3 linked regions of the Rhinolophus ferrumequinum genome follow. The main gene of each other region encodes a partner of the protein of the gene in region 3 in a complex. Links are inferred from orthologs where the notes say so. Each region holds a gene or a part of one and is shown on either strand. Other genes may lie near its edges. The genes, in order: GPS2, CORO2A and TBL1XR1.

The links.
Region 1: TBL1XR1 (region 3) and GPS2 share a complex: the UniProt entries of both Homo sapiens proteins name them as parts of the N-Cor repressor complex. The link is inferred for Rhinolophus ferrumequinum from reciprocal best matches to the Homo sapiens genes TBL1XR1 and GPS2.
Region 2: TBL1XR1 (region 3) and CORO2A share a complex: the UniProt entries of both Homo sapiens proteins name them as parts of the N-Cor repressor complex. The link is inferred for Rhinolophus ferrumequinum from reciprocal best matches to the Homo sapiens genes TBL1XR1 and CORO2A.

Annotation. Positions count from the first base shown.
Region 1 is NC_046304.1:11,526,082-11,536,427, reverse strand, and holds GPS2 (G protein pathway suppressor 2), read right to left. Parts: upstream 4,794-10,346; 5' UTR 4,455-4,793; coding exon 4,361-4,454; intron 3,995-4,360; coding exon 3,885-3,994; intron 3,806-3,884; coding exon 3,693-3,805; intron 3,563-3,692; coding exon 3,483-3,562; intron 3,392-3,482; coding exon 3,303-3,391; intron 3,115-3,302; coding exon 2,961-3,114; intron 2,835-2,960; coding exon 2,745-2,834; intron 2,655-2,744; coding exon 2,575-2,654; intron 2,488-2,574; coding exon 2,392-2,487; intron 2,219-2,391; coding exon 2,135-2,218; 3' UTR 1,497-2,134; downstream 1-1,496. Other genes in the region: EIF5A (eukaryotic translation initiation factor 5A-1), read left to right, coding at 424-528, 729-860, 948-1,010; NEURL4 (neuralized-like protein 4), read right to left, coding at 5,556-5,760, 6,317-6,482, 6,561-6,673, 6,820-6,964, 7,112-7,219, 7,313-7,400, 7,526-7,705, 8,047-8,205 and 5 more. UniProt on the Homo sapiens protein: Key regulator of inflammation, lipid metabolism and mitochondrion homeostasis that acts by inhibiting the activity of the ubiquitin-conjugating enzyme UBE2N/Ubc13, thereby inhibiting 'Lys-63'-linked ubiquitination.
Region 2 is NC_046295.1:54,547,623-54,558,513, forward strand, and holds the start of CORO2A (coronin-2A), read right to left. Parts: upstream 4,470-10,891; 5' UTR 4,357-4,469; intron 1-4,356. Other genes in the region: TBC1D2 (TBC1 domain family member 2A), read right to left, coding at 9,743-9,983, 10,336-10,457.
Region 3 is NC_046285.1:66,366,747-66,376,827, reverse strand, and holds the start of TBL1XR1 (F-box-like/WD repeat-containing protein TBL1XR1), read right to left. Parts: upstream 4,106-10,081; 5' UTR 3,853-4,105; intron 1-3,852. UniProt on the Homo sapiens protein: F-box-like protein involved in the recruitment of the ubiquitin/19S proteasome complex to nuclear receptor-regulated transcription units. Plays an essential role in transcription activation mediated by nuclear receptors.

The sequences.
Region 1 (10,346 bases), on a different chromosome or scaffold from region 3:
TCAGCTCTCTTCCTTTCTCAGTCCTTCCTGTTTTCTCAGCTCTTTGCTTTCTACTTTCTTTACTTCCCAAGTTTTCAGCCTTTTATGCTGTTGTCCAGAAAACTCTTCTAAACTTTTATCTAGACTCCTCCTATTCCTTTAGGCTCTTAGCCTCGTATTTGTCAATGTAAGTAACTGACTGCTCCAAGCCTGGCCTAGTTTCCCTTGTGTTACCAACCCCAATCTCAGTGGTGACCTTTTGGCCTTCAGTTCTTTTAGAGGCTTTAGTATTTCTTTCTTGACTTCATGGTTCATTTCCGACTTCCCTACTCTTTGCCCATACAATGTAGTTTGATTTCCCTTACCAGCAGGCACAGCTTGAGCCTTTATCTCCTCCGTTCTAGTTTGGTTGGGTTTCTCTTTTGATGTGATGCATACACACAGGTCCACCTGGTTGGTATTGACATCTTTACTGGGAAGAAATATGAAGATATCTGTCCATCAACTCATAATATGGATGTTCCCAACATCAAAAGGAATGATTTCCAGGTATGTAGATGGTCTGAGTAGAGATGGGTTAGTGGTTGGGTGGGGGGTGGTAAGGGCAATACAGATTGACCAGAAGAGCTTGTGCTGCGAAACGAGGGAAATGGCAGGAGAGGGTATTTGGTGTTAGTAGTTTGCCACCCCAGTTTGTCTATCAGACCTCTTATCCTCAACCTTCAGCTTCCTTCCCTATCTGCCCCCAGCTGATTGGCATCCAGGATGGGTATCTATCACTGCTCCAGGATAGCGGCGAAGTGCGAGAGGACCTTCGTCTGCCTGAGGGAGACCTTGGCAAGGAGATTGAGCAGAAGTATGACTGTGGAGAGGAGATCCTGGTATATAGCCCCCCACTCGTGCCCAGCTTTTCTCTTTGTGCTTCTCTGAGCTCTCAGACTTCTGACTCTCTTCATTTGTTCCCCCAGATTACGGTGCTGTCTGCCATGACAGAGGAGGCAGCTGTTGCAATCAAGGCTATGGCAAAATAACTGGCTCCCAGGTGAGTGTGACAAACTCCCCTCGGCCTCCTCCACACACTTGTTGTCCCCATCAGAGTTGCTTTAGTTTTAATTCTTCTAGGCTGACTTTCTGGCCCCAGCATTGTTCTTACCCTTCTTCCTGTTGAAGGTGTTTTCCTGTCTTACCTGGTTTCTTTCTTCTACCCAGGGTGGCGGTGGTGGCAGCAGTGATCCTGGCGCCTGCAGAGGCCCCCTGCCCCAGCCTGGCCCACCTCTGGCGGGGCACTTGGCTGGACTTCTATACGATTTATTTGACGTTTTATTTTGGTTTTCCCCACCCCTTCAATCTGTCGGGGAGCCCCTGCCCTTCACCCTGCTCCCTTGGCCAGGAGTGAGCCATGGCCTCGGTGAAGCTGCCCTCCTCTTCTCCCCTCGCACTACAGCCCTGGTAGGGGAGAAGGGGTGGGTGCTGCTTGTGGTTTAGTATTTTTTTTTTTTTTTTTTTTTTTTTTTTTAAATTCTGGAATCAGAGAGCTGTGGATTCTGGCAAATGGTCCTTGTGCCCTTCCCCTATTCATCCTCAGTCTGGTCCCTTGTTCCCCATAGTCCTTTATCCCAAGCACCACCCCCACAGACTGGGGACCAGCCCCCTCCCCGCCTATGTCTCTCCCCAAATCCCTTTGGCTGGGGAGAGAAGAGGAGGAGAGGGGAGGGGACCTGCTCCCTCCTCAGGCATCTGGGAGGGCCCTGCCCCTATGGGCATCACCCTTTCCTGTGGGCTCTCTCCCCGACACATTTGTTAAAATCAAACCTGAATAAAACTACAAGTTTAATATGAAGCCCCAACTTGGATGCTTCTTTGAATAAATGGGTATTTGCTGACTTAAAAGGTAAATTTGAAAACCAGAAATAGATTATAGATTGAATTGTGTCGCTGAGTTCATCACAGCCCACTGTCCCACTGATTTATAATGGACTTGCTAGCCACCCCCACCATCCAAGCAGCCCTGGCCTAGTCCAGGTGGGAGGCAACACAAACAAGCAGCCAAAGGTAATGGCAGGTAGATTTTATTGGCCTGGGACTACTACAGCACACTGGGGACCTTCGCCCATGGTGGGGGGTAGGGAGTGAGGCTGATGATAAAATTTGATGGTCACTTGTGGTAGAATCGCGTGTTCTGGCTGTGCTGGATGAAAGGGAGCCGAGGGCCCGGTTGGCTGGTAGCTGCAAAGCTTGACTGGTGGTGGTGGAAGAAGGGTTTTGTCAGTGTGCATGCTCTTCCCTTCCTTACACCCTTAGAATCACCCCAAAGGAAGAAGGGGGAAAAAACAGGACTGGGCCACCTGTCCTACCCAATCCTGTTTTCTCCCATAGTGTAAGGATTGTGACAGGTATGATTACCATCCTTACCTTTCCTGCTGGTTGCATCTGCACGGGGAGCTGGGGGGAGGCAAGGAGCCCAGGGGCTGGATGCAGAGCTTGGGGATGCATGGGGCGCAGGGAGGACTGCAGAGAACAGAATCAAGACCTGAGGCAGCCTGGGGCTCCCCTTAGCATAGCCCTTCCCCTGACCTCCCAAGGCTCCACACTCACTGAGTCAGAGAAGCCAGTTTGCTGGTTAGCATGTTCCATTTGCTTTTGTAAGGACAGAGCACTGCCAGGCTGGAGGAACCCTAAGTAGGGAAGAAGGGTGTGTGAAATGAGTTAGTGAATGGGGAAGGGAGGACCCATGGAACTAGGTCCCCTGCATGGGGTATAATCACCTGTCTGAGTGGGCTGAAAGTGGCTGTGCACGGCATAGGGCTGTGGCTGTGGCTGAGACAGGTACTGTACTGCAGGAAACGCTGACGGTGCTGAGAAAGGCAGGAGGCACAGCCATTAATACCTCCTTTTAGTCTGTTTACAACAAATACTACTCCCTCTGGGCCTTGAGGAAAGTGTCTCCCCGCCCTCCCACCCCACCTTTTTCCACCACTCACCTCTGAGCTGCTGACTAGGACTATAGGCGGGTTGAGTGGGTCCATAGTGAGGTGGGGGCTGAGCAGTCCCATAGGCACCGCCTGGGCTGCCTTGGAATTGCCCATGCTCTGGGGTCCCTGCGAAAGCAGCTGCTGAGCCCACATAGTGCCGGGTCTAAAGAGGGAGGATGACACCTTACTATCTGGAAACTCCTTGAAAGTAGCAACTGATTTGTGTATGCTCCATTTTTCTCTATACAGTTAAATCTATGTTACACTCATGACTTGAATATTGGTTTAGTAAGGGTGCTTGGGTCTGGGTGGAAGTAGTAGTGGAAAAATGGGCCAGACACCCAATCCTACTCTTACTGTAAGCACTTGGGGTCCGAACATCTGTTTGGCTCTGTCAGCTGCCATGAGGGTACCTGGGCGAGTGTGTCCTCCAGGGCTCCCTAGAGAGGAAGAGGGGCTTCGTGATGCTGAAATGGGAGTCTACAAGTCCTAGGAGGGCCCATTCGGACCAGTGGTTTCTTTAATCCTCACCTTGCATACTGAGGAGATGAGTTCCTGTGTGAACAGTCAGGCCCTGTGGGTATGCAGCTGACGTCAGAGTGGTCAGGTCACTGGAGTGAAAGAAAGACCGGTCAAAATCAAGGAGAAGTGCCCCCTCTTTTGCCATTAAACACTGATCTTTTGTTACGTGATCCCAGTTATACTTTGCCCCCAATTTTAATTTTAGCTCTTAAATCCCACCTCTGCTCCTTTCGCCTCCGTTTTTCTTCCTCATGTAAAACTTTCTTGAGCTGCAGGAAAAGCTGGTGCTTCTCTTCCTGTAGGGCCAAAAGCTTCTCTTGCAACTTCAGGATCTGAGAAAGAAGGGGAGAGGAGATAAAGGCAGGAGAGCCAAAGGAAGAAAGAACTGGGAGAAATCAAGGGACTACATACTTGTTCTTTGGTCTCCTCTAGTGACATTCTCTCCTCCATCTCCTTTTTCTTCCTTCTCTCCTGCTCTTCTTTCATCTTCTGTTCCATCATCTTGTCCACCTCTTCTTCCTCTGGAGAAGAGTTAGGCAAAATGGTGAAGTGGCGGGGTGGTTAAAATAATTAGAACGTTAGGGATTGAAGACCAGCGAAAACTGGTTATCCCAGTGCTCCTTTCTGCTCTTGAGAGGGCAGGCCTCTCCCACCACTGCAATAGGGTAAAGGGAGAGGGACGTTTCATTAGGTGCTCTCCAAGGTCCTTCCCAGCTGAAGCGTTTTACAGTTTAGAAACGGCGATTTAAACTCCCACCACAACAGGACTGTTGCACCCCTCCTTTAGCTTCGGCCGCCGGTGTACTGGTCTGCCCGGGGATGGGGGTCAGCCCTGGGATAGCGGTGCCGCCCTGGGCGACTGTCCTCCCGCTTTGGCCCCAACTCACCTTGCCGCTTGCGCTCCCGCTCCATCATGATGTGCCGGTGCAACGCCCTTGCCATGGCGTTGGAAAGCTTGGGGCGCTCCAGGAGCGCAGGCATGGTGCTGCTGGGGACGCTTGAACTGTGGGTGCCCGGCTCTGCTGCAGACTGCCAGACCTCGGACCAGGCCTGCGAGAAGGCGGGCGCTCAGGGTGGATCGCGCCGGGTCCGCGAAGGCGGAAGCCCGCTCGCCGCCCCGATCACGTGTCCGGCGCCTGCCGCCCGGCCTGGCCCGTTCACCCGCCTCGGCTTCGGCGCGTACGCGCGTGCGGGCGGGGCAGGGGTCCCAGGTCTCGACACTCGCGTCCTCTCCCCGGCAGCCCGGGCGCCAGCACCTTCCTACCCGCCTTCTCTACGCTTTCTCCGCGGCCTACTGCGCACTTTGGCCAATGCGTCACATCCGGCAACTGGAATGAATCCTTCCGGGGTCAGAGCTGTAGCCCTCGCGGATTGGGCGGGGAGGAAAAGCCGGAAGCGAAGCGGACGGGTGCCTGTGACGTCCAAAGCCCTCCGCTACGCCGGCCCCGCGCCGTCCACCCCCGGGCGCTGCTTCCTGGCCTGGCGCCAGCCGCGAGACGCTCAGAGCTAGCAGTGGTTACCCCGTGGGTCCCTGACTGGGCCGGTCGGGGACGATCCCCGAGGGGCGCGTGAGAGACAGGCGAGGCGGGTGCTTTGAGACCGTGTTTATTGGCTCCTTAGAAATCAGAGTCATAACAACTGTACAGAGGGCCCCACCTTCCCCGCTCCCGCCCGGTGGCTCCCGCCCGGTGGCTCCTGGAAAAAGCAGCTTCATGGGGGGCACAGGGAGACTCCTCTGGGATTCACAGTAATGAGGAACAAAACGGAAATAAATTAAGTGATACAGGGGAGGGAGTCATAGGGAGTCGTGTTCCCCAAATCAGTGCACGAGGAGGGGTTACCCAGGGCCTGGAGCCGGGCTCCTCACAAGCTCCCTCACCTCAGAGAGTGTTCAAGGGCCCTGGATGTGGAGGTGTGCTCCACTCCCATCTAAATCTCAGAGTCTGCCTACATACTCTTGTGCATCCGCCAGACTGAGCACCGTGCATGCCGTGGGTCACTGGAATGAGGTGAAGGCAGTCATCACTCAAGAGTCCATGGGCCCGTGGCCCAACTGTGCTTGTAGTAGTGAGGTCTCACCCTTCATTCTACCCGTACCAGCAGGGCATAGAGGAGTGTGGCCCCCTTCTCCTTGGTTACCCATTCAAGTTCGGCTAGGCTGAAGTGAGGGTCAGGAGGTTCTCTGAGGGCAGCAGAAGGAGGGCCAGGGGTATAGGAGCCAGGGCGCACACACACCTGGAATGCCACCTGGGCCTGGTGTGTCCGCTGGGATTTGGGGTCCCGGAATCTGTCAGGCAAGAAGTAGAAATAGGGCAGTGAGGCCTCTGGCCTGTCACGTCTTCCCCTTGCTAACTGCAACCACTGCACTAGCCTCCCTGTTCCTAGGAATCACTCCCACCTTGTAGGGAGTTGGCTCTAGCTCTTCTCTCTGTTCCAAATGGTTCTCCTCCCAATGCCGCCTCAGCTAACTCCGTCACCTCCTTCTCCAGTCTGCTCAAATCTCACCTTGATGTCTACCCTGACTACCCTATTTAATAGACCTGCTCCAACTGCACATTTGATCCATTTACCCCACTCCACTTTTTCTGTTTCCATAATATCACTTGTCACCTTTAAATATACTGAATATTACGCATAAACATTCTACAGAGAAAAATGTAAGTTATACAAGAGCAAGGTTCCCTTTTTTGTTCACTGATAGCATGAAAGAAGTGGCATTTATTCAAGGAATGTGTGAGGAAAGGGATGGGCTGGAAACTGAGGAACTAGCAAAACCAGGTAGGGAAAGGGAAGGCAAATCATGGAGACCCAAGTGGCCCTGGGGCCCCCTCCCGTGTACTCACTGCACTTTGGATGCCAGGGTCTCAGCCCCAGCATATTGGAGGGAGGGAGAAAGCAGCACTGCAGGGGGCTGCTCCTCCCGAGAAGGTGCGCAGTTCTCACCAGGCTCCTCAAACCCTCCCGCAGGGTCTCCCTTCAAGGGCCGGCAGCTCAGGATGGAGGCAGTGCCTGTGAGGAGAGCGGGGTCAGGGTAGGCCTGCTGCAGCCCACAGGCCCAGCCTGCCTTGACTGCTGGAGCTACGGTACCTGCTCCCAGCTCTCCTCGGTCCAGCACCCTCCGGACAGCTGCCACGTTGCTCCCATGATACGCCATGTGCCACTTCTTGGTTAGTGTCCCAGCCTCCAGGCGGGGATTCACCCTAGGTGGGCAGAAAGGACAAAGGTCACGGGCTCCCCAAGGTCATCCCCTAGATAAAAGTTCTGTCACTTCTTCCACGCACCCTCTTGGGACCCTCCTTTCTCAAGAACAGTAAGGGAGACACACATGACTCTGTCCCATCCATACCTGAGGTTGAACCTGCACCAGCCAAAGGGCAGGGCGTATTCCCGGGGAGGCTCCCCACGGCGCCTGTGGGCCTCATCCCCTCGCAGCTTCCGGCAAGACTCACAGTAGCACAGGCTACGTTTCGGTGGAGGCATGAAATAATCCTCTGTGGGAGAATGAGTGGTACTTGGTGCTGTGGCTCCCACCCTGCATCTCAACCACACAGCCTTCTTCCAACTGGTCCCCAGGAATCTGGGCATGGCCCTACACTGGGCCAGGGAATGAGGCAAGTTCTGGGGGGCTGGGAACTCACCAGGAAGCAGCAGCAGTTCTTGGAAACGGGAGCAAAGAGCATGGTACTCGCAACTCTTGAGAGGGCTGGCAGCAGGCGGTGGACCCCAACACACACTCTCCTTGATCCCTGAAGGAACAGAGGGGGCACAGGTGACCAGAAATGGGGCTAGAAGTATGCGGTGGGGTGGGGTAGGATCCTGGTCCCTTTGGACTGGCTCACCATCCACCATGTCGGCTTTCTCCATGTCCCCTTGGGTTCCAACACTCTTCCCACTGGCAGCCCCTGGTTCAGGGTTCACAATTGTCACCTGCAGAAAAGAGGGGTGGTCAGCCTCCAGGGCCTGCTGAGCCCCTCCTTGGCCCACAGACCTCCGCTTTACTCGGACAGCCATCTCCCAGGCACCCCCTCCTCCCCACCTCCATGGCCACTAACCTGCTCACACTGCCCATAGAGGTCCACAAGCGCATGGCAGGGCTGGGGGACATCTGGCACAGCCACCCCCTGGTCCATTCCATTGACAAGGAGGTGCAGTCCCCCAGAGCTGTCTAGCCGCAGTCCCAGGATGGTGCCTTCAGGACATGTGTCCAAATTTGGCCCAAACTTCTCACAGATCTAGGAGGAAAAAAGACCTACTGTCTTCCCAGAGATCAGACTCCCACCAGAAGCAGCCACCCCCGCCCTTCACCCTGTTTCAGGTCACCAGTCCCTGGGCTTTGCTTTCATACTTGCCTACTGCCTGGGCCCCACCCACTGCTTCAATGACCTAGACTTCGCCTCCTCTTTCCTACCACTGCAACGTTCTCAACGGCAGGGCGATAAGAGGCAGTAAGCCCGACTGTCCAGGTAATGACACTCACAGCCTCGTGTGAGCCCACCCACTACAGGGCCCCTTTATACCTGTGATCCTACCTCCAGAGCTCAGGACCCCGCCCGTCTCTCTGCTCCCTACCCACCTTGAGGCCATTGTGGAAGACCCCATGGCCCCGGAGCAGCCAGGCTGCCCGTTTGAGGGCACAGGCAGAAGCAGGGAAGTTGAGCCTCTCAGGTGGGCAGGTGATGACTCCCAGGACAAGGGAAGATGTCCACTGCCGGTTCAGGAAATCTATCCGCACCTGGGGAAGAAGGCAACTATTCCCCAGTCATGGCCTCTTAGGAAGAGGCCACCCACCCAGCAGACCTATGCTCCTCACCCCAGCCAGGGAGGGAAGATGACACCTCCCAGAGTGTGGCCTGGGATGCTGCCCCTTCTGATGCTTGAAGGCCTGGAAACTGCAAATTCAGTTGTTTCTTCCCCTCTTTCAGCCTTGGTTTTGTTGTTGACTCTGTAAGGATTCTTGTCCCTAGTGACTTCCTTCCCCTGGCGAACACTAACATCTCTTAACTTGCAGTAGAAAGACCCCTCCTCTGGAAAGCCCTCCCTGCGCCCACATATAGGACCTGGTGGCTTCCCTGGACTCCCCCAGCTCTCCCCTCCTGTTTCCCTCGCTACAGTCATCAGGTGGGCGCTTACTGGTTACCGACCAGCAACTCTCACCACAAAGTATGAACAAAAGCCCAGGAAGCTCATCCAAGGGGCTTGCCTTCCACTATGTCCTCAACCTGGAAAAGCCATGCTCCAAGAGGATTGGCCCTGGGTCACCTGAGCGAATTGCTGGGGATAAGGAGGTGAGGCCCACCTGGACCAGAAGCTGGGGCACTAGGGGCTGGCTGATGACAACAATGCCCTGATTGTAGCTGGCCACCCGTGTAGCTGTACGGTTCCCATTGGACAAGAGGATATTCTTCCCATGGTTTTCCAGGAACTCGAGGGCTGTAGGCATAATAGTCACTTGATCTTGGCCCTGGTATGGAGGAGAGACTGAGCTACTGGGTTTGCCCAGGTGAGGCCCAAGTCATCCAAGTGGAGTGGCAAGCTCACACAGAGCTTGCACATAAGCTTCTGCCCATCCAGCACAGGATCAGAGAACCCCAAAACGACCTGGTGGCCAATGGCCCACCCACCACTCATCCATGTGCCCAGAGGGCCCTGCCGCAGCCTCTTACTCCCAGGCCATGCTCCTCGCCCTCGTCGTCGTCCTCCTCGCCCTCACTTCCGGTGTCTGAACTGGGGGATGGAGGCTGGGTGCCTTCTGGCTCCTCCAGCCTCGTGGAGCTAACAATAGACACACTCCGAACTGGCCCGTACAGATCCAACACAGCCCACACATTCTGGGGGCACAAAAGACCGAGGAAGTTGATGAGTGGAAGACCTCAACCTCACTCCCAGAACCCAAGGCAAGTCTTGGATCTACCTTGGCAATGCCAGTGGCTGCAGGCCCCATATCCTCTCCATCTACCAGAATGTGCATCGTGTCATCTGCCCCCCGCCGAATGCCCACACGGCTCCCCACCTAGAACCAAGATGAGACAAGGACAGATGCTCAGCACACCTCTCCCTGCCACTCCCACTCCCAACCCTATCCCTTGTCCCTGGATCCAAGTGCTTCACCCCTAGCCTCTCTAGGTTCCGGCCATAGTTCATCCTCTGGAGCTGCCCGTCACGCCTCACTTCACAGCTGGACACCATCCAGGTGGTCTTAGTCCGGAGCTCGGGCAGGGAGGGAGGCAGCCCAGGGCCACTGACTGCTCCAGGCCCCATCTCCCCTGGCGCTAGTGTGGTCAGCCCTAGCCGGAGGGAACCTGCCCACTTCTCATCCAGCTCTTCTACTTTCACCTGTGTGAGAAAGAAAATATTAGCTGGCATCAGCTGGGGACGGGAGGGTAGGAGGCAGTCTGGCCCTGTTGTGAAGGGCCCGGCAGCCTCCTTTGTTACATCTCCACAGCCCACCTCAAAGACTTCCTCAGTCTTGAGCTCCTTGGTGCTGAAGACGAGGCCATGTGCATAACCAGCTGCACGCACCGCCCTCGCGCCATCCTCCTCCAGAGTGACGTTCTTGCCGCAAGTACTGTGGAATCGGTGAGCCACACCAGCCACTGTGGAAAGATAGCGTCAAAGGTACGGGTAGGATTGGGGCAACAAGCTTCAGGTAGGATATAGAGCAAAGCTTTCAGGTGAAACAGGAAGTTAACATAGAGGTCCCATCTGCCATTTCTCTTTTAAGACCTCTGACACCTCTTTTCACCACAGAAAGACTCATCCCCAAATCTGATATGTCCCGTTTATGGTGTCCTGAACCCTTGGTGGCAGGGAAGTGTCCAGGCCCTGTGTACCAGGAGTAACCTCCTGCCCTCTTCTTGGCTGCTTCCCACCATG
Region 2 (10,891 bases), on a different chromosome or scaffold from region 3:
TGAGATATAATTTATATGCAATATAATAAAACCAGTGTAAAAAATGGAATAATAGTAATATCTACCCTATAGGTTGTTTTGAGGATTGAATGAGTTAACGTATGCTTTAGATGGTGCCTAGAGGATAAGAAGTGCTATTGTTTGCTAAATCAATAAGCCCAAGACCAGCCTGGCTTTCTCTTCCTCTACCTGCTCACCTGGACTGGACCTCCCACCTCGTCCCAGCACCAAGCTCCCTCCATCCCCGGTCCCCATGTTCACTGCCCGGGTCCAACCTCATCACCCCAGGCCTGGACTACTTCCACAACCTTCTCTTTGTACGCCAGAGGAAACACACCAACATTCAAATCTGGCTATGCCCCTGCCCTGTTCAAAAGCCTTCCACGACTCTCCACTGCCCTGGACTAAAAGCCTTAGCTCCTACGTAAGACATTGTTTCAGCAAGTCACTTAACCTCTCTGTACCTTTTTGTTTTCTTAACTGAAAAAGAGGAATAAAAATCGTATCTCCCTCACAAACTTACAGGATTCCATGTTGGCTGGGCGGTGTATACAATCTGACTCATGGTCTCTCTCACCTGTCTCCTCTTCCCTCTCCCGTCGTCGTCACTCTGTCCTAGCCTGCTCTTCTTGAACTTCCCAGGCCTGTTCCTACCTCAGGGCTTTTGCACCGCCTCTTCCCTCCACCCAGACGGCTCTTTCCCCAGAAATCAGCCCAGCTCACTTGTTCACCTCCTTCAAGCCTTTGCCCAAAGTCACCTTCTCAATGATTCTCTGACCCCCTTATTTAAAACTGCAACCCCCTCCCTTCTATTCCCCCCACACATCAGAAATATACTCCTATTTATTTGCTCCATTTCAGTTATCACCATCTATTTTACTTATTGTTCACCTTTCTTCCCTATTAGATTGTAAGCTCCTTTATAGCAGATTTTTTGGTCCTTTTTTTTTTTCACTGTCAAGACCCTCCCCCTCAAAATACCTAGCACAATGTAGGTGCTTAATAAGTGAGTGGTTGAGTGACTAAATGAACAATGTAAAGCACTTAGGACAGAATAAGGCAGGTGGTAAGTACTCAATAAATGTTAGCTATTATTATTATTTTTTAATTCTCAATTATTGAATTTTCAAGGTGAGGCTCCCACGACCTTTTTCCTTGACTTCTCCAATCTCACAATCACAGTTTCCTAGCCCCCACCACACCCTGCCAATCTCTCAATTATGGTAAGGAACACACTGCTTTTTAATTATCTTTTTCCATTTAGGCTCAGTCAAATGAAATTGCCATTTCTTGTAAGTCAAAAGCAGCCAGATATTGGCCATTTCACATAGTTTAACCTAATATGTTTCCCATGGCAGCCTGCAGGCCCCCAGGATCTCAAGGCCTAGTACACAGTAAGTGCCCAATATGTTTTTGTCCACAGTGATGAAGTCATGTACTCCTGGCCCTTCATACTAGGTGGAATTGCAAAGCACCTTCTATCTGTCTGAAGGAGGCAAGGCACAGATTGTAGACTTCAAATAATAAATAGAGGATCGTGCTGAATTATTTTCCAGTCCTCCTGAAAAAGTCTCTGTCTCCATATGGTAGAGAAAATAAAAACAAAAACATGCTACGCTCTAAAATAATCCAGGTTCTGGCCATTTGGAAATAACAAAGGTCAAAGGCTGAACAAAATCTCTTTTCAGGGGAAAAAGGCTAGCTGCCTGCTTCTAAGGGGATTCATTTGGTGATGGTAGAGGGACGCTAGAACATTCTTTGATTATCTTTGTGTTCACTGCTCCTTCCAATAAAGACTTCAGTTAAAAGAAGTTTGCTAAGTCTAGAACATGGGTTGTCAGAATTGAAAAAAATCCAGCAATCACTGAAATTACCCCATGTCACAGATGGGGAAAGTGAGGTACAGAAAGGGCAAGGGAGTCATCTATGGTCGCAGAGTGGGGCAGAGGAAGAGTTCATCCTGGAATCTATGTCTGCTGACTTTAGTCTCAGGGCCTTTCTACTATGGGCCACACTACTATGCTTTAGTGCCACTGTTTTTTTTAAGCTGTAATTTTCACATGAAATGTTTATTAATCCTCAGATAAAACACCAAGAGCTGCTTCACTATAAGACAACTTCTTATAAATAATAGCACTACTCTCTTTCTCTCACTTCCTTATGGGAAAGTACTCAAAGTTAGAAGGCTAGGGGCAAAGGACAGTTAAGATAATTTTTGTGGACTTTTGTCACGAGATGCCAGGTTGCACTACAAAATTAAATGCCACTGGAGAATCCCTACAGCCTTGCCAGCATAGAGGTTTATCCTTTTAATTTATTTTTGCTAATTTTATAGGAATAAATACAGACCACTTTCATTTACTATATGGTATGTGTTTTCAAACACACATACACACACACACACGTCTTAGAATCAGGATCCCTGGGCTTGGTTGCTGGTTTGCTTTATGACCTTTGACAAGTCACATCCCCTTTAGAGATAGGGGATGCCTGTCTATAAAATGAGGAGGTTGGATGAGATGATTTCTTAAGATCCCTTTCAGCTTGGACATTCCATAATTCCATGGCACATTTTAAAATTATTAGCATGGGATGACTTTTCAATTACCAGAATCTGCCCTGCCCCTAAACCACGCCAAAATGGCTTGGACTAGCCGAGCAGAAAAACAGGGCCCAGATAATACACACGTAGAGATGACAGGAGACTTAGGAAGTACTTAAGCCTGTGCATCGGAGCTCTGCTCGAGTGACAGCACATATACTTAGTCTGCTTTTATGAGGGGATAATACCACTCATTTGTGGTCTAGTTCCAAGTTCTGTGCAGCTCCACCATGGCCAAAAGACAAGGTCATGGACAGTCTACTTCAGCGCTTAGGATCCCAGACTTGCGGCCAAAGGTAGCTCACCCTGAGCAAGTGCTCATCTAGCCTCTGCTTGCATATCTCTGTTGACACAGAGCTCACTACCTGCCCAGGTGGCCCCGATTTTCTTTTGGCTTTAAGAAAGCTCCAGGGAGAGGGGCAGGTCATGAAGGGGACGAGAGACCGGAAGGCCCAGACTTCGTTCTCAGTCAGGGCCTGCAACAGGAGAAGGACTCCTCTGGCTCCTCCTCACTTGAGACCTGTAAGGCAGCTGCTAAGCCAAAGGTGCACAGGAAGTGCAGGAGGCACAGGGACACATTCTGGTCCTGATGCAAGGGGTTCTGAACAAGCCCCAGGCTGATTACTGCCCACTCGGGGGCAGACATCCAAGCTCCCCCATCCTGCCTTTGCTCCCTTTTGCTCCAGCAGGAGAAACAGTGCTAGGCCTGGAGGTGTTCAGCTTGGAGGTGAGATTTATGGGACCAGGTGATTGCCTCTGGGTGGCGGAGGAGGGGTCAGATGTCTGTGTGCCCAGAGCAGGGCCCGCGGATTCCAGCTGTTTACAGCTAATGAGATCCCCATCATAAGGGGTGTGCAATGGGGCAGTAAGACCTTCCAGAAGGAATGCTACTGAGGGGCTGGCCCAGATGCCAGGGGTCTTTATCCAGAGAGCAGGAAGCCATAGTCCCTCAGACATGTGCGCTGTTCCAGACCCACCCCAACTCAGACACACAGTGCTTTTGGCACTGGGGTCGCCTCTGGGATCCACACATAGACGTGAGCCAGCCCTATCACACCCGCTGGGGCACAGAGCTAGGTGCCAGCACCTGAAATTTAAGGGACTTCCCGTACCATTCCCTAAATCCAGGTGCCTGCATGGGTCTGGTCCAGGCAAGTCTGAGGCTGAGGGCCCCACCACTTTCACCTCAGGGCTCCCCCAGCTCCAGAACGGGAGGCCGACTTGGCGGGCAGACTCTGACGGTCTCACCCTGCATGCCCAAGCTGGCTCCATAGAGACCTGGAGATGTCCCCTGTCCTGTTTCTAGGGCCAGCAGGTCACCCAGCTAAGAGGGGGAGAGTCCCAACACGGGTCCCGCGGGACACTCAGGCCACAAGGGGGCCTGTCGCGACCGACTCGCCACACCCAGGGTGAGCGGCCCTTACTGCATGCGGGAGGGGTGGGCGGTGCAGATTGTGCCCATCCGGGCCCCTGCCCTCGGGAACATGGACCTTGGGGCGGCCCCTCCCCGCAGCCCAGCGAGGAAGGGGCCCACTATTGCACCCTCCATCCCAATGAGGAAACTGAGGCCTGGAGAACAGTGCTTTGTGCAAGGTCACGCGTAGGGGCTAGAAGCCAGGTCCCCCGCGCTCTGCTGGGTCCCCCGCGGCGCGCCCTGCCCTAGCATCCCTCCTGGGGTGCTACAGCCAGGAGGCGCAGCACGCACACAGCGCGCAGACCGAGAAGGCACGGCTCGTGGCGCGGGGCCGCCCTACCTTGATGACGGCCGCGCAGGTGGCGGTGGCGGCGGTGGTGTCCGGCTCCGGCTGCTGCTCCGCGCTCCTCGCCGCCCGCCGAGTCCCGGTGCACAGAGCCGCCGCCTCCTCCCCCCCCCCGCAGCCAGGCGGGCGGGGCCTGTGGGCGGGGCAGGGGCCCGCACAAGCCCCGCCCGCGCGCCCCGCGGGGGCCACCCCTCCTTCCCCCATCCACCCCTCCTTTTCCTACCCTGCTCCTAGTCCACCCCTACCCTGCTCCTTGTCCTCGAGGGCTGGTCTCCCGACGCGCACACTGGCACAGAACAGGCGCGCACACCGGTCCGCGCACGCCGCAGTGATTGGGGCGGGCTCCCCAGCGACCAGGCTGAGTGAGGCTGGGGACAGTCAGACCCGCCTGGCTTTTCGTCCCACCGCTCCCTCTCTGCGTGACACAGGACAAGGGACTCGATCCCCAGGAGCCTCCCTTTCCACTTTGGTGAAATGGAAACAGTAACCGTGTCTGTCTCAGAGAGCTGCTTGAGAATTAGATGAGACGATCGAATTTACCCGCCCAGTAAATAAAATGCGCACACAGAGCCTGCCACAGAGAAGCTCTGGGCAAACCCGGGAGGGAGCAAAAGGGCAAGGAGGGTCGCTGGAGTATCAGGAGGACTCCCTTCCGTCTCCCGGTAGCCAGGAGGGGGCGCTACTGCCCAGCCTCGCGGGCTTGGGGTCCTGAGCCTCCCAGGCAATGGGGAGGAGATGGGGAGGCCCCGCCTTTTAGTAACACCACTACCTAACACTTACTGAGCCAGGCCCTGTTCTAGGCACCTTGACTGCGTTACCTCACTCAACCGTCACACAAGCCTATGAGGTTATACTATTACTCATTTTACACATAAGGGAGCTGAGGCACAGGGAGGTTAAGTACCTCACTCAGGGTCACAGAGCTAATAATTCAACCCTAGGCAGTGTGGCTCCCAAACCCAATTTTTTTTTTTTAAATTGAAGTTTAATGGGGTGACAATGGTTAGTATAGTTACACAGGTTTCAAGTGTACCAAGCCCAATCTTACAGCCACTCCAAACTAAGAGCTTTGTTTTGTACAGTGGTGTATTTAATGTGCCAGGGCCTAGAACTACCTGGCATATAGTAGGCACTCAATATGTATTTGTTGAGTGAATAACAGTGCGTACTACGTATCACTTTACAGACATTATTTCATTTAATCCTAGTAACTCTTTTACTTAGCCACTATTATTACCCCCACTTTACAGATGAAATAATTGAGGCTTACAAGTCGCTAAGTACTTGGGGGCTCTTGATTATCACCTTAGAACAGCCAGGGCCAAAGCCTGTGATTCAGTGTTCACTGGGCCATTCCTCTGCCCAGAGCTGGATGGGCTCCCTGACTACTGCCCAGAGCCCAGTCCCTCAGTCTGGCCTGCAAAGCCTCCACTCTGCAGCCCTGACCCAGGCTTCTTGGAGCTGGATTGCTCAGTGGGCTGGCTGAAGGCACGCTTCCAGTATCTGCATGAGTTGGATATTTGATGTTTCAAAAAAGCATATGGAAAATCAGAACATTGTGGGCGTTCCTTATACTTATGGTTCAATATTGCCTTTGTTTTTTTATTACACCTAGCAGGTGGGCACCTTTCCAACGCTAAGACATCTGAATGCTTAATTCACCTAGGGCTTGGGCAGTATCTTGGGTGTATCCCCCACCCCCTTGCACTCTTACATCCCTGTCTTTGCTGACACTCTGTTCCGCCAGGAATTCTCTTCCTGCTATCTCTGGCTAAGCTGACTCACCCTTCCTTCCAGGATTGGCACCAACACCCCTCCCCAGGAAGGCTTCCCAATGCCCTGTGGGTGTGCCCTGCCATTCTGCATCTTCCTGTCCCGTGCCATGATGGTAGGTGTCTGTATTTGGGGTGAGACGGGTTTAATAGGGATCTCTGGGGGCCATGCGCATATGGACCGAAGGACAGAGGGGAGGCCATTGGAAGCCTCTGTAATAGACACAACCTGGGACTCTTCCTGAAGATGCTGTATTTGTGTGTGTGTGGGGGGGGTCCTCATTTTGCTGCCCCTTCTCTTCCCCTAACCTTGGTCCATTTGAGGAAGGCTACTCCCTGACCATTCTCTGCATTGCACACATGGGGAAACTGAGGCCAGAGTGGTGATGACTTGCATAGGGCCCCTTAGCTAGAAAACCACATAATAGGTCTGGTCCCAAAGTTGGGGCCACCCGCCAGTACCTTCTACTGGGCCTTATTGCTGATTGGGATGGGCCGGGACCAACACTTTCCTTTCCCAGGTGTCAACATAGCCCAGCTTTGTTTAATCTACTGTGTGGGTAAGTGCCTTGTGGGGGACCAGAGTGTGTGTGTGTGAGGGAGGGAGGGAGGGGGAGGGGGGAGAGACAGAGAGAGAGAGATAGAGAGAGAGAGAGAGAGAGAGAGAGAGAGATATCTCCACCTACATGCCCAACTGGAGCTTTCTGTACAACATGGCCCTGTGCCCATGGGAGAGTGAGCTGAGAAAGACTAGGGGTAGAAGCAACTGGGAGGTAAGGTTCTGAGTGTGGGGGAAAGTAGCCCTGAACACAGGCAGTCTGTAGAAGTGAGTGTACCCCTCCCACCTTGGGGTGGAGGTGAGGGGTCTCCCAAAGTGTCCTCCAGGCCCTTCCTCCTCCTTTGAGGAGTTACTTTATTCTTGGAAATTTTCCCCCTGGGTAACTCCTTCCCCCTCCCCTGTAGAATGGAGTGTGGACCTCAGCTTGCTGGGGGCCTAGTGTCTGGAGAGAGATGCTCTGAGCAAGAGGTCCCATCCCCTGGGGTAGGAAGGGGGGCTGTGAGGGATCAGATCCTCCAGCTCTGGAAAGCAGCGGCCCCTGGGGATGGGGGCGACAGCTGTGGTGCAGGGCCAGGAACCTGACACCAGGCATAGGCCCCAAACACCCTTCAGGAAGAGCAGGGGGAGGGTGGGCGGTTTCCCTCGGAGCAGCAAGCAGCAGCCCCAGACCTTCTGGTGTGTGACTCCCTCCCCCCACCTGTCCCTGCTACATTCCTCCCATTTTCCTTTGCCTGGAGCTCTCCCCACAGACCCTACAACCACTCAGGCCATGGGCCAGGCCTGTCCTTTCCCCTGGGCCCTTGGGGGAGATTTTCTAGGTTCCAGACAAGGGGAGGTGAGCTGGGAGGAGCCCTCCCTGGTTTTGCAGTTAGGGCCTCTAAGCTTGAGTATGGCTTAACTTCTCAGGGGCTGTGTGAGTTGGGGCAAGTTAGTTAACCTCTCTGAGTCTTGTCCTCTTTATCTGTAAACTGAGCTTGGCCTGTAGTGGGCTAGTGCTCTAGGACAGGCAGTTCTCATTCCTGCCTCTGCCTCTAGCTCCCTCTTCAGGGATGGAGGAGGCCCCATCAAGTCAGTCCTCACTGTCCTGTGGTCCCCAACAGGCTTTGAGAGGGGCCCAGAACCAGTCCTTTTAAAAGGCTGCTCAGGCGATTCCACGGTGCAGCCACATAGGAACCAGGTTACACAGCACTGGGCCACCTGTAAAGCATCCCACAACCCCCAGTGGGGGAGCGAAGAGTGTAGGTATCCAGCTCTGGGCAGAGCTTCTCCTCTGATGTGTGTGTGGCAGGAATAAGAAATGGGGGGGAAGAGTGAAGAAACGTGCAGAGGAGGAAAAGGGCGAGGATGAGGGGGCCTGGGGAGGAAGGCAGAATGGAGGCGAGAATGGGGCAGAAGTTGGAGGGGAAGAGGAAGGAGAGAGGTGGGGAACGGGTAAGGAGGAGAGGGAGGGGGCCATCGATCTTGTCCGATCTGGGAGTTTTATTTTTGGCTGAGGTGGGAATTTGTTTTCCAAGGCTGGAATCTGAGGGGCCAGCTGTGTCTCCTGGAGCCTTGGCCTTTCGTAGGCTGCAGGGCCCTCCTGGTGATGTTTGCTTCATAAAAAGGCCGCTCACTGCTGTTCACTGTGCCTGGCATCGGCTCAGCACTGGTGTCATCTCCTCTCCCCTGTGGTGGCCCTTGTGGTTACAGCCTGTTGGGGGAGCAGCCAGGACTTCCCCCAGTCCACTCTCATACCACCATCATGCATGCTTCACACATACTGTTTGCTGGTGAAAGGGCCTCGGCAGATGAAAAAAGTTTAGCAAAAATGAGAAAGGTTGTCAAGCTCCAGTGTGGGGCATTCCCAGGAAACCTGGTGCCCTGGGGCCAGCCAGTAGCCCATGGGAATGTGGGACGAAAGGAACGCTGAGTGTCCCCTCCCCAGGGTCGTGGAGGGGCGCAGTGTGGGGGAACTGGGTGCCTGGTGTGCCACGTTCACACCTATGAGTGCCAGAGGGCCTGTCCCTGGTCTCCAGGGACAGGCACGGTCCCCTTCCCCAGCCCTGCACAGGAGCCTCACATCACAGGGGGGTTTCCATGTGGGAACGCCGCACCCCCCATCCTTCATACCAGATTGCTGAGCTCAAGGCTATACTGTGGCAGTCACAGGTTTGCTGAGAAATTAGCAGCCAAAACCACTGTGCAGCCGTGACTCCCTGCCTGGAGGGGGATGGCAGGAGCCTGTCTGCTGAGGAAGGGCCTGGAAGAGCCCAGAACTGACACTGAGTTCCTGCACACAGTGGGTGTGTGCCTAAGAGCCCGCTCTGACTTGGCGACAGGCTGCAGCCTGACCCTCGCACTGCCTTTTCCTCACTCTCCAATCACCATCAGAGAAGAGGTGACTCTTGTCCTAGCCTGCGAAGTTGGTGGTGGGCGGTCAGAAGGCTCTCTGTGCAACCCCAGGTTCCAGGTTCCTCTTGGTAGTAGGGCAGGGGTTGTCCTTGGGAACCCCACCCCCACCCCAATGGGCTGTGAGCACAGGTGCAAGGCTCAGGGAACAGGCCTGTCAGGAGACAGGAGCTGGGCCTGGAACACTGGCCCACCCAGCATCGGGGAGGCCCAGAAAAGACAGAAGCCCTGAATGCACAGGGTCCCAGCTCCTCAGGGAACCAGGAGGGGGACTGGCCCTGCAGAGACGCCCACAGAAACCGCAGCCAGGGATGTCCCAGGGCGGGAAGGCCCTGGCGGTGGGACGCCCTGGAACCCTGGGCTCACCCCGGAGCAGATGGTTACTGAGAACCTTGTAAGTTCCAAAGCCTGTGAACTAGTTCCTATACGTACAGTGTTTTATACAGATAAACTCAGAGCGTGTTCCAGGCTCCCTCTAAAGACAGCACTCTTGCTTGTCTGCGTGCTCACTTCTGAGGAGGAAGTGAGAAAGGGGAAGCATCCCTGGGTCTGTGCTCAGCAGGAGATAACCTAGCCAGTGGCGTCCCAGAGACAATGTTCTGATGGGGAGACTGAGGCCCAGACTGGAAGGTGCTTGCCCAGGGTCACATGGTGCCGGGGCTCAGAGGTGGCACCACTGTTCCACGGTCCTCGTCCTGCAGGCCTGGCAGTCGAGGGCGAACAAGGGCTTTGGGGCCACGTCAGGCCTCCCCCTCCCCCTCCCCCTCGTCCTCGCTGGTGCAGCCCTCAGGCAACACTGGGTCCACAGATGCCCGGGTCTCCAAGTACTGGGCCTTGAACTGCTCCAGCTCCCGCAGCTCAGCCTCCAGCCGCTCCCGGTAGGCTGCCCGCAGCTGCCACAGCTGTTTCATAGGAAAGGGGTTCATGTCATGGAAGGCGATGACCATCAGCTTCCTGGGGGGAGAGCACAGTCAGCCCAGAGCGGTGTCCCCTCCCCAGGCACGCCTGTGCTCATTCCACCCATGTGGCCGAAGTCCCTGGGCCCCGCCCTCAGCGAGCTCACCTTCCAGGGAGGAAATGGTGAAAAAGAAGACAGTTTCCACCTGAGTCACATATATTGAGACAGGAGAAAGTTTAGGGCTGGTTATGGGAGCTCTAAGCCACTAAGGAAAGGTTAGTCAGGGAAGGCTTCCGGGAGGGGGGACACATGAGCAGGTGTGTGGGTGATGGGAGGGGGCACGCATGGGTTCTCACCGGCTGTTGCAAATGGTCTTGGTGAAGAAACGCAAGTACTGGTAGATCTCCAGGCTGTCTCGCAGCCTCAGGATCTCTTCCTCGTTGTACTTGAAAATGGCCAAGGCATAGCGAAACACCACCTGGGGGGCAAAGTGGGCGCTCAGTTGGGGCAGGTAATCCCCAGAGGGAGGAGAACCCACACACCAGGCAGTGTGGAGTCCTTGGACAGGCTGCAGAGGTTGAAAGCTTGGGGGTGCCGTGTGTGCGGGGAGACCACAGGGGAGGGAGGGATTGGGTCTCCCATGGGGAGCACGGCTTGGAATCTGGGCACTGGGGCGAGTCCCAGCTCTACATGACTTGTCCTGAGACCCTGGGTGAGGGGTTGGCCCCCGGGGACCTAATGGGAATAATGCTGTCCTTACATGGGGCATCAGCAGGAAACGAATGAAATGACAAATCTGAGGGTGCTCTGTAAACTGTGAGGTGCAGTATGTTATCAACCACCGTGTGGGGAAGGGCCTGCCCAGGGTCTCCTAGCAAGGTCAGGCGCAGAGCTGGGACCAGACTCAAGCGC
Region 3 (10,081 bases):
ATCGTCCCGCTAGGTCTTATTTTCAGGGAAACACAGTAGTAAGGAATGGAGCCTGAGTTGGAACCCAGGCAATCTGCCTCAAGGACCCCAGACGGAATCACTATGCTACACAAAACATGATTTTTCTTATACAAGTTTTCAAGAATATCTACTTGGAGGATAGTTGGGCATACTCTTATTTGCTTTACCTTCTTATTTTATTTCTGTGGGCAGTACTTGGAGAGGCTACTTCACCTCTTTCAATCTTAAGGTAAAAAATATAGCAGTTGACAAGACTGCATCTAATTAAACACTTGTAACGGAGTTTAAGCACACTGATGTTTGCATCACATGAATTTCATTTATCCATGCAATCACTTGACCCGGTTAGCAGAGACACCCAACTTCTGAATTATAAACTTGATTAAAAACACTCGTTTTTGCAAGCATATCTACAGACAAGACTGACAAAACAGCTGGAAAATTTTGGCACTGCAAAAGTCATCTACAAATTTGGACTAGGGCTCACACAGACCTAAGTTTGAATTGCAGTGCATCATTTGGTCATTTGGTGGCCTTGGACAAGTGAATTAACTTTTCTGCATGGCTCTGTGTCATCACGCACAGAAAGAACCCAATACCACCCACCTCATAGGATTAGTCTGAGGTATAAATGACGCAGAAAGTAACTCACACCTTTCCTAGCTCCCCAGCCCAAGCAGAGTCCCTTTCTTCTGGCTCTTTGTAACAGGCCAACTCATTGTACTCTTATGGAGTCCAATACCAGAGGTGGTGAATAAACCTCTCCACCATCATCAGCTCTCAGTTGTTTGTTTGTTTGTTTGTCTGTCTGAATTCAAGTTTCTGTTGGTGATAGAGCAGAAGATACCACTATGGTGGTCTCCAAACTGGACCATGCTCTTCCCAATTCTTTATTATACAGCCCTGGGAGCCTAGCCCTTCTGTACTATGGGAATGCATAAATGTCTCCATGTTAGCTGCTTTCTTTTTCTGCATTTCTATTTTTTTTGCTTTCTATTTTTTGCATATAGTGACTTACACTATATGTTATTTGTGAAGTTAAACTCACATGAACTAGAAAAATACCAAGCCCCAAACAGTGCTAATATTTCTGCCATCTCTGTCCCTTGACTACTACCATTCACATTCCTCTCATTTTATATAAACAACACAGAAACTGAACAAACCTAACAAATTATTTCTACTAACTTCATCCAATGTGTCAAATCAGAAATTCTTTGTAGTAATACTGCTGTAGCAAATTCCTTTTCTGTAGGATTCCTTTGTCAAGCTACTCACTTGACAAGACTGTACTTATATATCATTGCAATATACGAACAGATATATTTATTCAACAGGTTGTCTCCTTCAAAAGGTCCATTAGCCACATCTCTTTTTATCAGTAACCCCTATGTTTACATTAAGCTTCTGTCTTTTCTGCCTCTTAGCTTCAAAAGCTCCCAGTACACAGGAAGCAGTTACTTCTTGTTCTCTTGGTAGGTATGTATCATGGTAATCAGGATAACCTTAATTAGATGTTGAGAACACAAGTAACAAAAAGATTCCTGGACACCTGTGAAGTTATTAAAATGTTTAAGATTTAAGGCTTCTTTTAAGCAACCAATGCAAAAATACAACCTCCACAAGGAGTCACTCCATTTACTGCGAGTCTCCACCATATTAACAACCAAAGTTGGTGTCTGTTGGAAGAAAAACGTCCTCCATAAGATGGTGAGCTTTACAACAATTTTTAAGCCGTTTACAAGTCCCTTACTTAAGTTCCTTAATAGTAGGAAAAACTTTTTCCATGTAAATATGTTTTCACCCCTCTATATAGTTTAGTATTTTGTCCTATAGATCTGATTCTAACTACTCATATGGCAAAAAACAGTATTTATTTATGGATTTAATGGTTGTTATTACATACATAAATAGTGCATGATAAAAGAACTGGGAAAAAATCATATTCCAAACAAACAGGAAAACCTCAATTTAAGAGCAAAAAGTTTAAACAATGTATCACATGCCTAACCACACTCTCAGGCATATTTTCTATCTACCACCCCTCCTACACAGGTAAATGCTAACTATTTCTAGAATTCTCAATGATAATTTCTGAGGCTTGCTTGCCATGAACTCCCATGACACAACCCAACATACACACACCGTTTTCATGGAGACAAAGCAGCTCTATTTCCCTTGACCATGAACTTATTAAAATGGTGAGAACATACAGTCCCAGGAAGTTAGGATTACTAAAACACACTAATACAGCATGGGCCTGGTTTAACAAAAATGAAAATAAACCACACTGGAAAAGCCAAAGAGTCACTCACTGTATCTTCAATGTGTAACCAGGATATTTATTACAACTTGTTTTAGGTAAGTAGATAAAAACACCACCAGGGCCTCATATTTTCCAATCTGACAAAGGAGTCTTTAGGAAAAAAGAGGGAGGAAGATGATTACTTAATTACATGGGGGGAGGGGTAAACCCTTTAACTACAAATAACCCAATTCACCCACCATATTTTATTAACAAGCTTGTTTAGATCAACATAATGTGCTTGTTTGGAAAACAAGAAAGCCAATAGTAAACTTCCCCAAGTCAACTGTAAATCACAGAGGTACTAAAACTGTTCACCTTGGTGCCTGCACAGTCCAAGGTTTTAAGTAAATTCCAGGCACTGTGGAAATCCAGTTTTTAACTAGGTTCCGACCCCTGTCATTTATAATCACCAAATTATTTTCGAAATCTTATAACCAAACAACAGGAGCATTTTTAAAGAGTTCTTACAAGCCAAATTTTACACGAAACACACCATTTTCGCAACCTAAATTTAATCTCGGTTGCCACTGCAAAGTGATGCCTGTTTCAGCAAATTAGGAACTTCCAAAAATACTGAACATGTTAACACATGCATGGCTTCCCTCGAGCTGCCACTTAAGACTAATATTTCACTTAAATAAAAGTCTGCTTCTGTTCAAAAAATGACATCGGTTGCAAAGAGGAAGTTACCGAGAAACCACCCTCACAACGTGGCCTTTACACTGTCAGAAAATAATGTGACTCTGCCACCCAAAACTTACCAGGAAGCTGGCAATAACTTTGCCAATTCTACACTTCTGAACCCAACTTCAAAGTGACTCTATCAAATACCTCCTTAGGACGATAAAAAGCACTAAGTTACAAATAAACACGTCCTGAAGTGCGGCCCCGCGCCCCTCCCCCGCTCGGGTCCCGCGGCCCCAACAGCCGCCCGCAGCCCCCCGCACGCCAGCTAGGGTCGCCGCGCCTGGGCCCGGGACGCGCCCAAGGAGGGGAGCAGATTTCCATTGCTGCCTGAGGTTTAACAAAATAACATGCACGGAAAAGATCCCTCTCCTCTGCTAAAAATAGGCTATAAAGGAGTCGGCCTCATGATGGCTCCTTGATTCAATTTGCTGCAAATTCTTTCCTGAAAGCCTTCCCCCACATACACACACACAAAAAGGGGGTGTAAATGCACGAAGGGTGGAAGAGGGGGAGAAGGCCGAGGTGCACATTTTCGGGGACAACATAATAAGGGTAAGGATCCCCAAGACCAGGAAAGGGTAGGGATTGGGCAGGCACGTGAGCATTTCAAAGAAGCCTGAGAGAGGAAAAGGGGGATGGGGCACCCTAAATGCCTTCCCTGCCTTCCCCTCCCCCACCCAAACCCCAGCTCCCTAAAGGGCCAAGTTGAAAAATGCATGTTCCACTTGCGCCCATCCCCCCCACGGCCCGGCGCCCACCGGCCGCCCGCCTCCGCCCGCGCCCCCAGCCCGGGACCGCGGTCGCCCCCACCCCAGGGTCCGGCCCCCAGCGCTTACCTGGAAACGGTGGCCTCCGACGCCGCTCCCCCCTCCCAGGAATGGAGGCACAAGGAAATTCCCCTCCTCGCCGCCGCCGCCGCCGCCTCCAACCACCCCCAAAATAACCCCTCCGGGGGGTGAGAGGCAATTATAACCCCGGCGAGCGGAGGGCGCGGGGGATGGGCGCCGGGCGGGCGGGGGCGGGGAGCGCGGCGCGGGTCCCCAGGTGGCGAGCGGAGGTGCTCCCGCCGAGGGGGGAGGGGCGGGGGCGCACGCGGCCGGCGGCGGGGGGAGGCGGCGCGCGGGGGAAGGGCGCGAGCGGGGAGAGGAATTGAGGCAGAAGGTAAAAGCTGTTACTAAGGGAAAGAGCCAAACGGTTCGGAGCAGCCAACGGCTCAGACACTCAACACTGGGGAGAGAGGAATGGGGACCAGCCAGGCACAAATGAGCTCGCGAGGCCCGCGGCAGCGGCGGCCGCGCAGCAAAACAAACCCGAGCGGCCTGCGCCGGGCGGGCGCGCGGGGGAGGGGCCCGCGGGGGAGGGGCGCCGCGGACGCGGGGAGGAGGCGGCGGCGCGGGGGGGTGCCTCCGCCGGCCTCGCTCCTCTCCCTCCTTCCCTCCCGCCCGCCCGCCGCGGCGGTGCTGGGGGCTGGGCGTGTGCGGCGCAGTCTTTTAAAAATAAAGAAAAACCCGCGGGCGCTCCGAGGCGCCTCGCGGGTACTGTCCGCCCTGCCCCCACCGCCGCGCGCGGCTGGGTGGCTTGGGTGGGTGTGGGCTGCGCCGCCCGAGGCCCAGTGGGGGCGGGGAGGCTCGCGCCGTAGCCAATGTGGCAACGCTGGTTAAGTTTGCTGGGGTGGCCGGCAGGGCTCCAGCGTGTTGGGGGGCAGCCTGTCCCCGCCGGCATCCGGGCTGCGCGGCTGAGCACACACACTCGGTGGGCATGTGCGTGGAGCGCGATGCAGGCATCATATGGACATTTGTTTGTGAAAAGATGTGCACACACCTTTGTGTGCATAAATACATATGTTTGTCGGAAGCGTACCTGCAAAGGTGCTTTATCTGTAAATAAGCGATTTTCAAAATGTAATCCAGAGCAGGGACTCTGTAGGGAAAACACGCACACAAGAAATGGTTTTTGATACTAAACACAAAGCTGTAATTGAAGTGTTTATGCTCAAATGTACTGTGAATCAAACATATGGTGGTATTTATCGTCTGGTGGGTCTGTTTGAAAGGTTTGGTCGATCAGCTCTCATTTCACAAAAATAATGTAACTGATTACTAAATATATACCTCTACCGCAGCATCGACAGAAGTTTATCCACTTTGTGTACTTTTTGCATGTGTGTAGCATATCAAGGCAGTTTATAAAGTATAACTTAGATGAGTGATGTGACAATGTGACTGAGGAAGAGAGTGCAGCCGGTTGTTTTTTAAAAGGGAGGCACCTCGGTTTTTAAGACAAATGTGTTCATCTTTCTAAGGCCTTCAGAAAGCAGGGATTGGGGGGTCCTTTTAAAAAGACCTTTGTACAACCCTAAGACATGAAAAGCAGCTACCCTTTTAAGATATGACCTGAAAGAAACCTGTTGTTATTTTCAGTTACTACTGTCTCCAAAGTAAAATAACATTTTTTGCAGCCTTTTTAGGGTGAAGGATTCTGTTTTCATACTTCCACCACAATATTTGAAAATAGGTTTAGTCATTATTTTAAAGCAATAATAGTCTTTTCCTCTCAACATCAGAGACCTAATTTTACACACCAAAAAAAAAAAAAAAATTCATTGGAAGTAACTTTTATGCTTCTAGACTCCCGTGCCCTAATAAGCTCAGTGATTAGACCAGTGCTTTTTTCGCCAAGGTCAACGACTCTCCCCTGATTAGCCCTTGCTTGGGGGAGAAGGGGAGCAGCCAGAGGCTCTCCTGACCAGCGGTGAGGGTGGGGAAAGGAGTGGGCAGAATAAACCATCAGAGGAAAGGGGGTGGGATTGGAAAATCCGTCCCAACCACCATAAAGAGAGTTCAAAGCCTCTCAGTGGATTGTCCTTAGAGCTATTTTTCATATATGAAAGAGGGAATGTTAGATTAAACAATGTCACCCGATGGGAATTTAGATAACTGCAGGTTTCCAAAACACTGTGTTGAGTGTACAGGGAAACAGCACAAGGAAAGCAAGTTTTGCATTTCAGTAAGATTCTAAAAATGAGGCTTATTTACTCCACAATTAGCACCTTTGCAAAGACTTCCAGAAGCGATGAGAATATAGTAGCTTCCTATTATTTTATTTTTTAAAAGAGTTGATTAATGACATATGTAGGTTACTAAACATAATCCTCTCTTCAATTAAGTGAACTGTCTCAGTAAAATTAGGGTTCATTATCTGAGCCACCCAGTGAAAGCAATCTATTGGCCTACATTGTTTTTGAAGTTTCACATTGTGGCACCACGCATGGGTCTTCTCCAGGCAGCAGCTACTATAAAATTAAACCACTCTTCCAGTGAATGTGGACTTCCCAACTACAGGAGTCATAATAGGGTCATCTTCAAACCTGGGATCCCCCACACACACTATTCTCCCTGAAAATGACTTCCATCTTTCCCTCTACAAGGATGGGCCCACCCTTCCTCAGGTTCTTAAAGTCTAGGGCTTCCAGCCTGGAATTCTTATACCCTACGCTAAGCTGCCTCCTTTCCTAACAGAAGTTGTTTTTATCACAATGCTAGTAATAATAACCTACTGTGTTTCCCCGAAAATAAGACCCAGCCAGCCAGTCAGCTCTAAGTCTTTTGGAGCAAAAATTAATGTAAAACCGGCTCTTATCTTATATAAGACTTGGTCTTATATTAATTTTTGCTCCAAAAGACGCATTAGAGCTGATGGTCCGGCTAGGTCTTATTTTCGGGGAAGCACGGTATGTATTTGTTTACATCCTTGTGATTTACAAGGCCTTTCTGTGCACAAATTACTTCATTTGAAAATTATGATAAAAATTATCAAAGGTGGGGACCTGTCCCATCACCTCCAGTAAAAGGGCACCTCACCCACCATGCTCACTGAAGAGAAACTTTAAGTCCCTTGGACCAAAAAAAAAGCACTCAATGTGGAAAAGCCTTGATTCTTCCAGCGGAGGGATTTTAAATGAGATCGTATTTTGATCACTTTCATTTTCAATATTCTGGAACCTATCGGAAATGACAGTGTGGCTACAACGTGAAATCCTCAGATAAATGAGCCACCATATAAAGGTGGCATGTATTGTTACCTCACCCTTCAGTCATCCTAATATATCCAGTGTACAAGATGAGAGGCCTCCCCAAAATTCAAGCAATAATTAGGCACAAGAGGGAGGTAGGGACAAAGAAGTAACTATTGTACTAATTTTCAGTGCTTTGTCATAATCTAAAAGCTGCCCTTCTACTTTGAATATAAGTGGTAATATGTTTCTAAAAAGGAGACATTACTAAGAAATTCTTGAGCAAAGAGGCACATTATTAAGAAAGCTCTCTTGAACTTTCTAGCTAATTAGTCAACAAAGAAAAACCTCATACCAGTAACTGTTACCAGAAGTTACATATATATTGTAAAATAACTAAACAAATCTTGACTTGTTTTATTTCAATAATATTACACCCAGGGGTGTGGTATGGCAAGATAGCCTACACCTTTGCAACTTTCATCACCCAGGAAATAGAACATTTCAAAGTCAAGGTGGCTTAGTCCTGGGCCCACAGGATGTCATTCCTATATATATTTTTAAAGCCACCATGATGTTTCAAGTTGTTTGCATTAACAGATCTATGTTTTTAAGGTGTTCAAAATGATCTTCACAGCATGAAAAAGATTTTTGATAACAAAAATATTATCCTGGCACTATACTATAACCTTTTATGTTCTTACCCAGAAACTCAGTGGCTTTATGTCTGTAGCATTTACCCCCAAGCGTCTTGCTGATACCCTGTGATATGTCTCTGTTTCATTTTGACTCTGCTTGTGCAATTCTTTGTCTGTGGTTCTTTCAGCTATCAGCTTTTGCCATCCAGACTGATGCACATCTTGGCCACACATCTCAGGATCTCAGCACACAAGCTCCTTTTCTCCATCTGTGCTTAGCATGCGACTTGTGACCTTCCCTCATCAGTATGAACCTTGTCACAGTTTTCCATGACTCTGTGACCCGATTTCATTAGAACCATGAACTTTATTTGGGAGTCTTCATTTAAATTACAAAAGAAACACACAACCATTTTACAAGTATTTATGCCTCTCAGATAATGGAAATAGCAGGTTGTATCCTGCCTCTGTGATTCAGTCAGAACAGAAAAGCAGCCACACACAGAGCATATAGCTCTACTTACTTATACTGACCAGCCATGTGCTTCCTCAGGGCAGCACTCAAGGCCTTGCATTATGTTGATGGTTTTGCATTCGTTCATTCGACAAACATTTACTGAATGCTTACTGTGCCAGGCACTGTTCAAGAAGCTATTTACAGTGAACCAAACAGAGCTTCCACTATCATGGAATTTACATTCCAGTCCCATTTCAGGTGGGGGTTGGGAGGGCAGTCAGACTTTCAAAAAAATAACATGTCTGTATTAGAATATAGTTTCACTTCTATAGCAAAGGCTTAAACAAAAGGCTTAGAAAATATATGAAAAAGGCTTAAACAAGATAAAAAATTTACTCTCTTATGTGGCCATTCAAATGTAAGCACTCTAGAGCTGATAAGATATCAAGAACTCAGATTTCTCTAGTGTCTCAACACCCATCTTCCAGCTGGTGGTCTACGATGGCTTTTCTAGGCTCTTGCCATGACATCCAGATTACAGCCACTGGGCTAGAAAGGAGGAGAAATTGAGGGCTTATACCTGCTGTTTCAGGACTTGTCCTGGCATTTGCACTCATCACTTCCAGTCATACTCCATTGGCCAGAACTTGGGCATCTGACCACACCTAACTGCTAACAAGTCAGGTAAACGATATGACATACAATAAGGCAGAGAGGGGATTGAAAATGTATGTTATTTTAGATAGGGTGTTTAGAGAAGGCTGCTCAGTTTAGGTAACGCGTGTGAGCAGAAAACTAAGTGAAGTGAATGGGTGAGTGTGCAATTATCAGAGGAAGGAGCATTCCAGGCACAGGGAATGTCAAGCACAAAGGAACAAAGGTAAAAGCAAGTGTGCTGTATTCTAGGAATAAAAATGATGCCAGTTGATTGGCATGAAGTAAACAAAGGAGAGTCAGGAGAGGGAGCCAGGGACCAAATGTGAAGGGCCTTTTTCTTCTTGTGAGATGGAAAGTCACTGGAAGATTTTGAAAGCAGAGAAGTGACGAGTTCTGACTTTTGTTTTAAGAAGGACTACTCTGCTGTGCAGAGGACCAAGTGCAACAGTGCAGCAGTACAAGGAGAATGACTAGTCAGGGGACAGTGCAGAAATCCCAAGGAAAAGATAGTACCATGGGTGATGGTGGCAGGAGCTGGCTAGAAGGAGCTAAACTCTGTCTACGTTTTAAACAATGATTGCAAGATTTTATACCAAACAAGTGGAAGAATGGAGTTGCCATTTGTGGAGATGAAAAATTATTTTTATGAGGGAAAAATCAAGAGTTTTATTTTAGAATTTGATGTGCCTATTAGACATCTCATGAAGATATTGAATGGGCAGCTAGATATATAGTTTGGTGTTCAGAGGAAGTATTGGAGCTGGAGAATTTAGGGTCTCATCAGAAATGAAATTTGAAATCATAGGCCTAGGTATAATTGACTAGAGAGTGGGTATGGATAAAGAAAAGTTTTCTATTACCTACAGTTATCTCCTACCCCAAATATATTCTTTTATTACCAATGCTCTTCTGCTCTTGATGTAGTCAGAAGCCTAAAACATACTTTATTGTAGGTGAACATAAGGTGACATGCTCTTTGTGAAAGGACATTGGTGGAAACCAGATTAATTGCTACCATTTATTCAGCATGTTGCCAAGCACTTTTATGTTTGTTGTCTCTAATTTTTTTCAACAATCTGAAGAGGTAAATAATTTTGTTATCTCAGTTTGTTATGTGAGAAAACTAACGAGACCAAATCGCTGTCTAAAATCGTGTTGCAAATGGCAAAATGAGGATTTGAACTCAAGACTGTCTGAGTACAGTGTCTGCTTTTCCACTAAGGGAAACAAAGCAGGTCAAGGCACGAAAGTGCGAGGGTTTGCTGAAAAGTCCTTCACTGAATAGGGAGAACAGAAAAATG